Ovis aries: one gene and its partner. The protein of the gene in region 2 interacts with the protein of the main gene of each other region in a biochemical or structural test. Links are inferred from orthologs where the notes say so. Each region holds a gene or a part of one and is shown on either strand. Other genes may lie near its edges.

Region 1 (6,077 bases), on a different chromosome or scaffold from region 2:
TCAGGGCCAGGTTTGGGGTCGTGGGATTGCCCACGACTGTCAGAACTCTTGAAACAGTGGCCTTCAAACCAGGGAAGAAAGGAAACATATAGTTTGAAAAGCATATTGAAAAGTTTTATGTTAGGGAAGGCAGAATCTCTACACTATTTTAAAATACAAACTGCAGTGCACAGAGTTCAACAAAATTCTGCCCCATGTGTCTGCCCCATGTGTCTGAGGGGGATGGATAGGTCCAGATTCCCACAGTCTTCCAGGCCGGGGGATGGAAACTTGATGCTGAGCGTGTTAGTATGTTATTTCTCTTATGCAGTTGTGTTGATGGAAGATGGTAGTTGGTTTTACCTTACAGGTTTTAATATCCTAACTAACCAAAATAGTAGGTTGGTGACACTATGTGAGTTCTCTGTCACCAGTTTTTCTGAGAATTAACTTGCCCTTGAATTCTTAAGTGTGGGATGCTTAGGAAATGCCTTCACAACCCCTTCCAGGCCTGCTACAGCTTGGACTTGTGCTGCCCTAGGACAGGAGCCATTAACTACATGGGGCTATTTAAATAAAATGGAATTAAACATTCAGTTCCTGAATTGCGATAGGTGTATATCTCTGGTCCTGGGAAAGGGATGGACAGTTTCCCTCTGGTTCACTAATTCTTTTTACCACTAGATGGCAGGACCTCCTCCACTTGGCCAAATGCTGTTTAATTTCCCATCCTAGTAGTGTTTACCCTTTGGCCCACTCAAGCGTTGTTGTGGGGATGGAAGGTTCCAGGCCCAGCAGGGCTGTGGCCGTCCCCAGCCCGCTTTTACAAGATGATTGTGGTCCATCTCTTCTGTCTCTGATAATCTGCTTCTTTGCTCTCCTTTTAGGAGCTGGTGTTTTCTGCCTCCCCCGATGCTACTATCAGGATTTGGTCGGTTCCGAATGCCTCTTGCGTACAGGTTGTTCGTGCCCACGAGAGCGCTGTGACAGGCCTCAGCCTCCACGCCACTGGTGACTATCTCCTGAGCTCCTCTGATGACCAGGTATCGTCCCAGCCAGGCTCTTGGTCCCCAAACTCAGGTATCCTGGGAGGAGGAAACATCTTACCCAGCTGGGTCCCCAGAACCAGGAGAGAGTATTTCCTCTCTACAGAGAGGGGATGGCCTTGCCAAGGTCTGCCCAACCAGGGTCCCTGCCTTCCTGAGGGGCCATCAGAACCTGGGGACCCACTGTCTTACCAGCTCTGTTGTCTCTTTTTTTTTCAGTACTGGGCCTTCTCTGATATCCAGACAGGACGTGTGCTCACCAAGGTGACCGATGAGACCTCTGGTTGCTGTAAGTTGTCTCCTAAGTGTTGGCCTCTTCAGTCGCTGTATATTGTTTAATGTTTTATTTAGTTGTTGCTCATTTGTTCTAAAAAATACATGCTGCCAGTGCTTGCTGGGTGCCGGGCATAGTGCTGGCCCAGGGAGCGTGAGGAACAGCGAGGAGCCTACCTTTGCTGTGCTTAGTATCTTGAGGGTGGGCTCTGACCGTCTGTCTGTCTCCCCCCCAACAGCTCTCACCTGTGCGCAGTTCCACCCTGATGGACTCATTTTTGGAACAGGAACCATGGACTCTCAGATCAAGATCTGGGACTTGAAGGTAGGACATGGCTGTCCCCGTCTGCAGCCCAGGGTTGGAGCTCTTGTCCCCGTGTGGTGTGATGAAGTGCTTATGGCACCTGGCCCCGGGGGTGTCCCAAGAGTGGGGAGACAGGGGCTGTGTGTGTGACAGTACTGTGTGTGTGGCACAGTACTGGGGTCCCCAGGCTGGGCGTCCACCCTTGCTCTTCCTGCTGGTTGTCCTCCCTGAGGGTGGAGGACGTCTCAGGAGTGGAGTTGTCTGAGCTCCATTTTCTCCCTCATGACCAGTGGGTGACATTTTACTCCCTGCTCCCCAACCACAGGAGCGCACCAATGTGGCCAACTTCCCCGGCCACTCGGGCCCCATCACCAGCATTGCCTTCTCGGAGAACGGCTACTACCTGGCTACAGCGGCCGATGACTCCTCTGTTAAACTCTGGGATCTGCGCAAACTTAAGAACTTTAAGACGTTGCAGCTGGATAACAACTTTGAGGTACACGTCTTTCTCTGTCACCCCTCCTCCTCGTTTGTCAGTGAATTACTCTAAACTGCCTCTGTTTTCCCCGAATTGCCCACAGTTTCTGCTTCCTTTCATGTGACTTCTTTCCTGATTTTGGCAGGTGAAGTCACTGATCTTTGACCAGAGCGGTACTTACCTGGCCCTTGGCGGCACCGACGTCCAGATCTACATCTGTAAACAGTGGACGGAGATTCTTCACTTTACAGGTAGAGGCTTGCCCTAAGACCCTGAGGTCTCTGGGTGCTCTGGCCCAGAAGAAAGTGGGGAAAATTTCACTGGGTTAGGGGTTTCTAGTGGCAGGCGTGCATTTGCCAAGGCCGCTTTTAGTCACTCTCTGAGGCAATAGAGTTTAGTGGCTAAAACAAGGAACTCAGGAGTCAGACTGCCTGACTTTAAATGCTAGCTCTGCCACTCGAAGCTTTGTGACACTGGGCAAGCTACTTAACTTCTCTGGAAAATAATAGTACAGTTGATTCTCCACAGACTCTACCCACTGTGGATCAAAAATATTTGTGGGCGGAAAAAATCCAGAAAGTTCCAAAAAGCAAAACTCAAATTGCCCGCACACTGGCAACTATTCATGTAGCATTTACACTATATTTAAAATTATTGGCATAGAATTTGTGCTGTTAGGAATTACAAGTTATTTAGAGATGATTTAAAGTATATAGGAGAATGTGTGTACATTATATACAAATACCACCCCAACAAAGTTGGCACCTCCTAATAGTAGTGTGGCCTCTGGTGCATGACTTTCCCTTTTGGAGCTGTAGTTACTTCATCTTTAAATGGGCGTATTGACACTGCTTCGCATATTGTGCCGGCTGGTGCCCTGGAGGTGGCCTGCATGGGGACAGGATGCCTCTTGCACCTTCAGGAACTGAAGGAATGGCAGCTGCTGCCATCTTTGTTAACGAAGTTCTTGTTCTCATTAGCGGGTGGTGGGCGGGGCACAAGCACCTTCTCCCACCCCAGATTCTACTCACTGTGTGTCCCAGAGATGGCCAGACCTGATGGTGTGGCCCATGGGTTTTCACCTTCCCTGGGCCCCGGTGCCTTGATTTAGAGCAGTCAGTGGAGTGGCGGGCTGGAAGCACAGGGCAGCGTTAGAGTGGGGAGCTGGTGGGCCAGCTGTGATTGTGGGAATTTGCCCTGATGTCCATGAACTACCTGAGCCCAGCGGAGAGGGTTGCCTGGCGTCTTTTGCCCCTGACCCAGCCTTCTGTGTGAGCTAGGACAGGCTGATAAGACTGTTCCAGTTACACACAGGGGCTCAGAACTAAAGACCAACAAGTCCAGCTTCCTGTCAGTTCTCAGACTTGGACTGAGCCGAGCAAAGCCAATTTGTAGCTGCCCTCGAAAGCTTAGGTGGCGGAGGACCGGTGTTCCTGTGTTCACTCAGCCCAGCCACACACAGTGCCTGCTGTGGGCCAGCCCCAGGGAGGCTCTGGAGCTCAGTGCCATGTAGAGCTCTGGCCTTGGGGGTTTCCAGGCCGCGGGAGGTTTCCAGGTCACAGGGACGGGTGGGGAGCATGTCATAGGGGTCGACGCTGAGACCCCAAGGAAGAAAAGCCTCCTCACCGTTGTCTTGTCTCTCCACAGAGCACAGTGGCCTGACCACGGGGGTGGCCTTCGGACACCACGCCAAGTTCATTGCTTCCACGGGAATGGACCGGAGCCTCAAATTCTACAGCCTGTAGGCGGCAGCTCACCAGACCGGAGTGGGGCCTCGTCTCAGTAGAGGGATAGCATTAGGGGTGGGGGTGGGGGGCAGGGGAGAAGAGACTACTGGGGGGTGGGGGGTGTATGGGGTGGGACATTCGCATCATTTCACTCTGGTCCCGGTGGTGGCCTGAGAGCCGCAGTGGCATGGACCACCCTCATCCGTCACCCTCTTGAGGGCTCAGCGTCGGCCCCAGGGCCTCTCTTCAAGGAGTTGATGGAGCTGATGGCTGTTCCACACCCACCGTGTTCCAGTTCCTGTGAGTTGGAGAGAGGCTGAGCCAAGGGAACTGTGAAGGGACTGGGCCGAGGGCTCAGGAAGGTTTTTGTAAGCAGCGCTCTAGTTTCATTAAAAAAAGAAAACAAACGTAGCCGCCTTCCTGTGTCTGTTTGTAGTGGGGAGAATCAAGGGGAGGGAGCACCAGTTAGGGCTTCAACCACCAGGATGCCCATCATTCTGTTGTTTCTTTAATTGGACAACAAATTTAAAAATAATCTACAAGCCATTTGCCAGAATGATTCTTCCACATTCCTGCAGGCCTTGACTTTGTGATTTATGGGGTTTTATGTCACCTGCCTTGGGTGGCTCCCATGTGAGCCTGGAAGTGGGGGAAGGGGAGAGTGCTGAGAATCTCGCTGCCACAGAACCGGCCATCTCTCAGAGCATCCTCAGTCCTTCAGTCCAAGGCGACAGAAAATCTGTCTCAACTGGCCTGAATCAGAAATCCTTCTGTGACTGGTATTTGAAGATTAGAATTCAAACTGGTCTGGGAGGACCCAGCCAGCAAACAGTAAATTAGCAGAATGTCAGGGAGCTCATGACCCCTGTGGTTGGGGAATTAAGGCAGGCTAGTCCTTGTGGCTGCTTTGGGTGGTCAAAGGCCTTTTCTAGATGATAAGCTGATGGGTGACTGATGGGAGCTAAGGGGAGGAGTGTTGCAGTTGAGGGAAGGTCCTGAAGCTGGAAGATCAAGATGCGAGCTGCAGGTGCAGGAAACCAGCATGGCTGGAGTGGTGCCACTGGGTATGGCCTTGGAAGATCATCAGTACCCTTTCAAAGAGCGGTCCCAGTGGAACATGAAGGAAAACAATATGAGATGACATTTTGTTCATTTTATGCCTGAAACAACCTTATCTTTAGTTGTCCAGCAACTGGGCAGCTTCCTGCACCCCCATGGGGCTTCAGGCACCTTGGCAGTCCAGCCTAGAAGGTGGGCTCTGCGAGCTTGGGGACAGAATCCGGGCTTTGGCACTTAGTAGAGTAAGGCCACAGACAGATTGATTAATTTATCTCTGTTTACTGTCCATTAAGACCCGAGCGGAGTGGCGTGGCTGGCTGGGTGCCCCGACATGGAGGCCAGGAGCGCCCCGAGCTGCCACCTGCGGTTCAAGTGGGTGTACAGCTACCGGGGCCACCAGTGCCACAACAACCTCTACTACACGGTGGCCACGGAGATCGTGTACTTCGTAGCGGGCGTCGGCATAGTGTACAGCCCGCGCGAACACCGGCAGAAGTTCTACCGGGGCCACAGCGATGACATCATCAGATATTTGCCTGAATAAGGGCGGGCGGCTGCGACTGGTGCACTAAGTGTGGGCGAGAGGAGCTACCCCACGTCCGAGGTCAGGGGCAGCGGCCGAGAGTGCCAGGCTGCGACAGCGCAGGAATGGCCGAGAGGAGCTACCCCTCATCCGAGGTCAGGGGCGGAGGCTGGGAGAAGAAACTCCATGTCCAAGGAACGGTAGCTGCGCGGGCGCAGGAGGGCCTAGAGGAGCTATCCCACGTTGAAGGTAAGGAAGGACGGCAGTGAGGAGATACCCTTCCTCCAAGGTAAGGAGCAGTGGCTGCACTTTGCTGGAGCAGCCATGAAGAGATACCCGACGCCCAAGGTAAGAGAAACCCAAGTAAGATGGTAGGTGTTGCAAGAGGGCATCAGAGAGCAGACACACTGAAACCATACTCACAGAAAACTAGTCAGTCTAATCATACTAGGACCACAGCCTTGTCTAACTCAAAGTAAGCCATGGCCACGGGGCAACCCAAGACGGGCGGGTCATGGTGGAGAGGTCTGACAGAATGTGGTCTACTGGAGAAGGGAATGGCAAACCACTTCAGTATTCTTGCCTTGAAAACCCCATGAACAGTATGAAAAGGCAAAATGATAGGATACTGAAAGAGGAACTCCCCAAGTCAGTAGGTGCCCAACGCGCTACTGGAGATCAGTGGAGA
Region 2 (6,077 bases):
TTCAGTTTATGTTGACTATTACTACGTTTTCCTGGCAAAGGCTAATAATACATGAAAACTCACCTTTAGTACCTTACTCTTTAAGGAGCTGTATAGTGTAAGAGGAAAATTAAATGTTAAATTTTTGTTTAATAATAACTATACAGAGCAAGGTATTTTAAAAGGGCAGCCAGCAGTTTGGACTCAAGGGAGGACTGTATTATTTAAATTTTAAAAAACATTTAAGCCTAAGATGGACCGTACAGTATAGGTAGGATCCTGTGGGTAAGGGAGAATATTCCAAGTGTAGGGGAAAGAAATATGAGAAAAAGGAAATGTGAAGCATTATTTACTGAGCAGTAAGAAATGTATTCTGGAGAGGAGGTGAAAGATGATACTAGATTGTTGGAAACCAGATCATTAAAGCATAGGAATTTGAGCTTCAGTCTTGGCAAGCTGTGTTTGATTTCAAGCCGGAGTTAACTTTTATCTTGAAAAGACCACTTCAGCATTAGGTTGAGGCATAAATTGGAGGGAAAAACCAGAGTGAAGGCAGGAATACCAGTAGTAAACCATTTCCATAATATAGATAAAAGTTAGTAAGATTTTGAGCTAAAGCAGTGGATACAAAGGAGAGGAATCCAGTTTAGAAGACTTATTAAGGATTTTTGAGATTCGGTATCTACTATGAGTAAGATGGGAAAGAATCAATGATGAGATCCTAGTTTGTGGCTTGACTATTGTGGTTTCAGTTTTTGAGACATCCGAGTAGAACATATTCAATAAGCATTTGAATATATGTCTTAGAAGGAATAACTACACTAAAGATAGATCCTAGAATTACCAAAATAAGTGTGGGACAGGAGATAGAAGCAGAATATCATAGTTGCCTTAGGGGAAGAGTACAGACAGACACTGAGGGAGGAGCAGTTTGGAGTTTGGACTAATTGTAGCAAAATTAGGGTAGAATGTTTCTAAAGAAGAGATCTGTTATGAATTCTTCATTTCTAAGATTGGCTCGGTTTGTCTATCAAAGTATTCCTTTTTGTTTTTCTTGGTATATTTATTTGATTTATGGTAAATTCAAATGTAGAGCCTTAGTTTTTAGGTGACATATTTTGATTACCTTTAGATCATGTATTGTTTTTACCAGTTTCTCCTCTTTGCTGGAGTTTTGGTGTTAATTTGTAACATTGAAATATTTTCATTCTATAAGGTTTTTTTTTCTTGAACAAGTGAGATGAAATTTGATTTTGACTAAATCTATTGTTAGACTGCCTTTAAGAAGCAGTCAGATGTAGAGCTTGATTGTATGAAACTTGGAATGAAAGCTTAAGCAGAATTTTTGAAATTAAAGCTTAATGAAAACATGTTTTCATTAAAACAGTTTACCCTTAAATTGTTAACTGTACTCGGTAAAAACATATCTTCCATGAGCCTATTTTATAAAAGTGTAAACTATTTGAAGCATCTATTTCCAATTAATAGTCATTATTTAACAATGATATGTTAATTTAATAAATTTGGGTCACATTCTTGTGTCTGATTTGTCTGTACTTAGCAGATGCTATTTTGCAGTCTTAATTTTCTTGAATTAGAGTTTTGTAGGCATTATGAAGCAGAGGGACTTGGAAGTAGGAAAGACATTTAAATAGTAGCTCTCCCATTAAATCATATGTATCTTTTAACTTGATCATCAGTATACTTACCATTCTCCTTTAAACCCCAGGTATATACCCTTTTTCATTTCTTTATAATAGCTATAAAATTTCACTATATGTCTACCAGACTGTAGATTTAGCAAGATGAGAAATTATTCTGTGTCCCTTTTCACTACCTAGTAAGTAGAATGGAGTTAGTAATTAATGTTTAGTAGTTTTACAGAGGGGTGGGATTAAATGAGCTGTACTACAGTGTCAGCCCTGTGAAGGTTATTTGCCTCGAATAAGAAGTGGGCATAGTATGATACAAGGTTCATGATAGCACTGTATACATCCTCACTCAAATGGAGAGGAATGGGTATTGACAATAATTCAGTTACTGCAGATTTTCAAACATATTTCCAGGTTGACTGCATATCCAGAGGCAGTTATGCAATTCCATTTTTTTAAAAAAACTCTTTGACCTTAAAATCCTTGACTACATCATCATCTTTTCATTCTTTGGTATGTTTAAGTCCTATTTCATTTACTCATGAAATGGCAACAGTTGCATCTTTTTCTTGGTATTGGTTAAATTAAATGTGGAATACTAGTAAGTTTCTCCCAAATGTTACTTCATACTAATGTTATATGCTATTTATTTACTGAGGAGTTTTTCATACTCAAATTACAGTGAGCAAAACATTTAAGGAGAAAAAGTACTGCTGTAGCTTGAAATTTTGTATCTTCTGTTTCAAGTGTGCAAAGCAAACATCCCAGCTTTTCCAAATCTAGTAGTTTTATGTATTGACTTACTATAAAGAATTTTGTGGTGTAATTTTGAAGAAAAAGCTGTCATGGTTTTATTAAATGAGAATTTTGAGGGGCCAATTGGGAACTAAACTTCTTAGAAACTTCTTTGTTTCTATTCTACTTCCCCTATTGAAGGGAGTTATGTTTACCTACAAGGGATAAATTTCTGGTTTGCCAGTGACCAGAATAGCCTGTTAAGGTACAAAGTTGTTTGTGTATATATGACTGTCATTAGAAGAAATGCTCAACAAACAGATATAAGCTTTATTTTCAGATGATAATTAGATGCATTATTATGTAGACTTCATTCTTACCTGTACTTGATGAGAACTAGGATCTCGAACCTTGTGTTTCTGAATAGTTTTTCTAAAATTCTTTGACTGCATGTAAAATAGGATCTAAATTATGATTCCTTATTCTATAGTAAATATTATGGTTTTTCACTAATAAGAACTTTATCATGGAATAATTTAGACTATTTTTGTGTAAATAGGTAATTTTGCTTCATATTAGAGAAATGCTTAGCAAATAAATGTTGACATGAATTATTTAGCAGTCATTTTAAATAGCAGAGTTAAGCATATTTTTCTTTTCACAGAATGACAGCCCATATCAAGGCGGTGTATTCTTTTTGACAATTCATTTTCCTACAGACTACCCCTTCAAACCACCTAAGGCAAGTATTCCCTGCCACCCCCAAGTCTGTGAGTAAAGATTTGTATTTTATTCAGAAGAATAGAACATTCCTAGACATTAGGGTTCTGCATAAGTTAAGGCTAAACTACTGTGAGTGTATAATGAATAAGAATAATTGGGGCTTGAATGTATATACTGAATTAAATCACTGATGTTGAATGCTGACTGTTAGCCTTAGTTAAAAGAAGAGCTAAACCTGGATTTGAACTTTGTAACTGGAGTTAAGAATTGCCTTATCCTTTACGTTGCAAGGCTCAACTATACCATGTGGAAGCATTTTTCTCACTTTATTGTGCGTATACAGATTTGGATCAGTAACTCTAGTGTCTTAAATACTAGCGTTCCAAACACTAACCTTCATTGTGCGTTTTCACACGTTGCTAAAAAATATACCATTATTTGTGTTGGGATTTAAGACTACAGTATATTTTGGCCTTTAAATGAAAATACTTTTATGATATTCAAATGCGTGTTTTATGTACAGTTGGAAATGGAGATTCTAATACATGCTTTTGTACCTTGATGCCTTAAATGAGCTAATCTGTATGCTTTGGTCTACCTCAGAAAGTTTCTAATTTGTTAGTGAATCCTAAATTCCCTTCAAGTTGCTCCTTTGATACTCATGCTATGGTAGGGCCAAAGTTTACCTTCAGAACAACCCACCATATCACTGATAATAAAATTTTTGCCACATGGTTATATTTTCCATTTTAATTAAAAAGAAGCCCCTGAAGGATCTTGGTCAGAATATAGATATTTTTATGTGTATAACTTTAGCTATTAGATTTTTAAAATTTTTAACTATTTTAAGTGTAGCTATAGTTTTTTGCCAAAGTTTACAATGCTTGTTTTTATTTGGGAAAAATAAAGTTGTTTTTTTATTTTAGGTTGCATTTACAACAAGAATTTATCATCCAAATATTAACAGTAATGGCAGCATTTGTCTCGATATTCTAAGATCACAGTGGTCTCCTGCTTTAACTATTTCTAAAGGTAAAATACTAGCGGCTTTGATTTTTCTAATAGTTAAAGGAGTTTCATTTTTGAGCTGACTTACCTAAGTATTTTTATAATGCCAGCTTTTTAATAAAGATGGGAAAAGGAATAAGAAGTTACATCCTTTTTGCTCTTAGCAGTATTGATTAAAGATTTTTTGGGAAGAAGTTAACATTCAGATGGAGGGGGCAGTATTTGCAAATATCAATAGCAGCATTTAATAGCTTTCTTAGTATATTTTTCAATCCCAAGCCACTTGTACATCTCACTCATTTGTTGCCATTTAGCAAAAATGGTACACCTAAAGTTAAAAGAGCTTTTGAACTTGAGGTTTCTTATGGGAAAATTCTGATTTCATTTTCCTGTGTTTCTTATTTTTTAGATAAAAAATCTTTTTAAGAAACCTTTAGTTAAGTTTTCATGTATCATGGTAGGTTGTTTCCTATCTAATAATAGTCTAAAATGCATAGTCTTGGGAAAGGTCTCTAGATAAATTCTGCTCTTCTACTTTAAAAGCGATCTGTTGTGTGGCATTTTTAATAGGTTGTCTAGTTTCCACATTGATGTTCCAGATGGAATATCTCTCCATCTCTTTGAAACAACTCTGGTGGCTTTTATGTCACTTTTACCCCACAAATAAAAATCACCTACCACACAGCTACTTAATGAGAAGGAAGTCTGCCTTTTAGTGATATTCAGTTTTTGATGCTGGCTTATTAGCATTCCTTAGTACACAAAATGAGTTTTTAATGTTGCTAATTATGACTGAATTTCAGATATTTGAGGATAGCAGCTAACTTGAAGCATTCTCATTTTTTGGCTGAATACTTAATGTAGCATTCCCCAGATTATTTCCTGAAATAGTTAGTAGTGTTTTACAAGAAGTTTTATATTTAGAAGTGTGGTAAATGCAAAGTGAAACAGGTTTTGTTTGTTCATTCGTTTGTTAAGTCAGGACATCAAGCCTTTTGTGTCCTTGTACAGTGCATTTGAATCTCTCTGAAGGGACTGTCTAGCATTCCCAGAATTGTTTTTGATTAATCAGAAACACTTTTGTGTGGGGAGTGGGGACAATTTGGGTAAATGCTGCTGTCGTTCTTTTAGGTGCAGCATTGTTTTAGGCCCATTTTTTACCCCCCTGGATACATTCAAGTTTCTTTTCAGGTCTTTTCTTTTCTCTTAACACCAGGCACCTGGTATGAAGAAGACTTTAATACTATTTTCCAGGTTTGTTTGGTTTTACCATCATTGGGAATGCACTGCAATACTGAACACTGTTTCTGTAAATGCAGATTTAGTTTTATTTCTGATCCTGCACTTGAGTTTAAAGTTCTATTTTCTATGATAATGTATTTTTTTTTCATGGTATTGCTATTATCTTCAAGGATTGTCATAACCACATTAAGCTTTTATGTCGTAAACTTTTTATAAAACTTTGCACAGTGGCACATAATTCGTATTCACAATGAATTAGATACATATTCCTAATGATGCTTTACATCTTTTAAGTTAATGTTTTGAATAGGTCAGTGTGAGAGCTGTAGCTGAAGAACTACTCAGTAGTAGATCTTGGTGGGTTGTTTTGTTTTTTTTTTTTTTTTTTTTAATTTAACCAGAATTCTTGGATATGGTCTCTACCTTATAAATTCTGGGAGATAAAACCTGTAGTCATTGGGGCAGTTGGGTGTTTTTGTGAAACTCCCCCGAGAGTAGGACAGAAAATGGATTATTTTATCAAGCTAAACAGCTAAGCATATATTGCATAGCTGTACTCTTATTCAAAGTCCCCACCCCCACCTCCCTCCAGCCATTACCAAGAAACTCCACTTGACTATTTCAGAAGGTTCATAGAGAGAAGTCCTTGGTGGTCCAGTGGTTAGGACTCCACACTTCACTGTAGAGGATACAGGTTCGGTCCCTGGTCAGGAGTTCCCGCATTCAACGTGGCATAGC

What was found.
Region 1: the proteins of UBE2D3 (region 2) and PRPF19 form a complex in vitro, tested with the Homo sapiens proteins (2 studies listed by BioGRID). The link is inferred for Ovis aries from reciprocal best matches to the Homo sapiens genes UBE2D3 and PRPF19.

The regions. Positions count from the first base shown.
Region 1 is NC_056074.1:34,597,107-34,603,183, reverse strand, and holds the end of PRPF19 (pre-mRNA-processing factor 19), read left to right. Parts: intron 1-866; coding exon 867-1,022; intron 1,023-1,244; coding exon 1,245-1,314; intron 1,315-1,537; coding exon 1,538-1,623; intron 1,624-1,927; coding exon 1,928-2,098; intron 2,099-2,225; coding exon 2,226-2,331; intron 2,332-3,727; coding exon 3,728-3,825; 3' UTR 3,826-4,214; downstream 4,215-6,077. UniProt on the Homo sapiens protein: Ubiquitin-protein ligase which is a core component of several complexes mainly involved pre-mRNA splicing and DNA repair. Required for pre-mRNA splicing as component of the spliceosome.
Region 2 is NC_056059.1:22,371,624-22,377,700, forward strand, and holds part of UBE2D3 (ubiquitin-conjugating enzyme E2 D3), read left to right. Parts: intron 1-3,030; coding exon 3,031-3,108; intron 3,109-4,015; coding exon 4,016-4,121; intron 4,122-5,313; coding exon of another isoform or gene 5,314-5,351; intron 5,352-6,077. UniProt on the Homo sapiens protein: Accepts ubiquitin from the E1 complex and catalyzes its covalent attachment to other proteins. In vitro catalyzes 'Lys-11'-, as well as 'Lys-48'-linked polyubiquitination.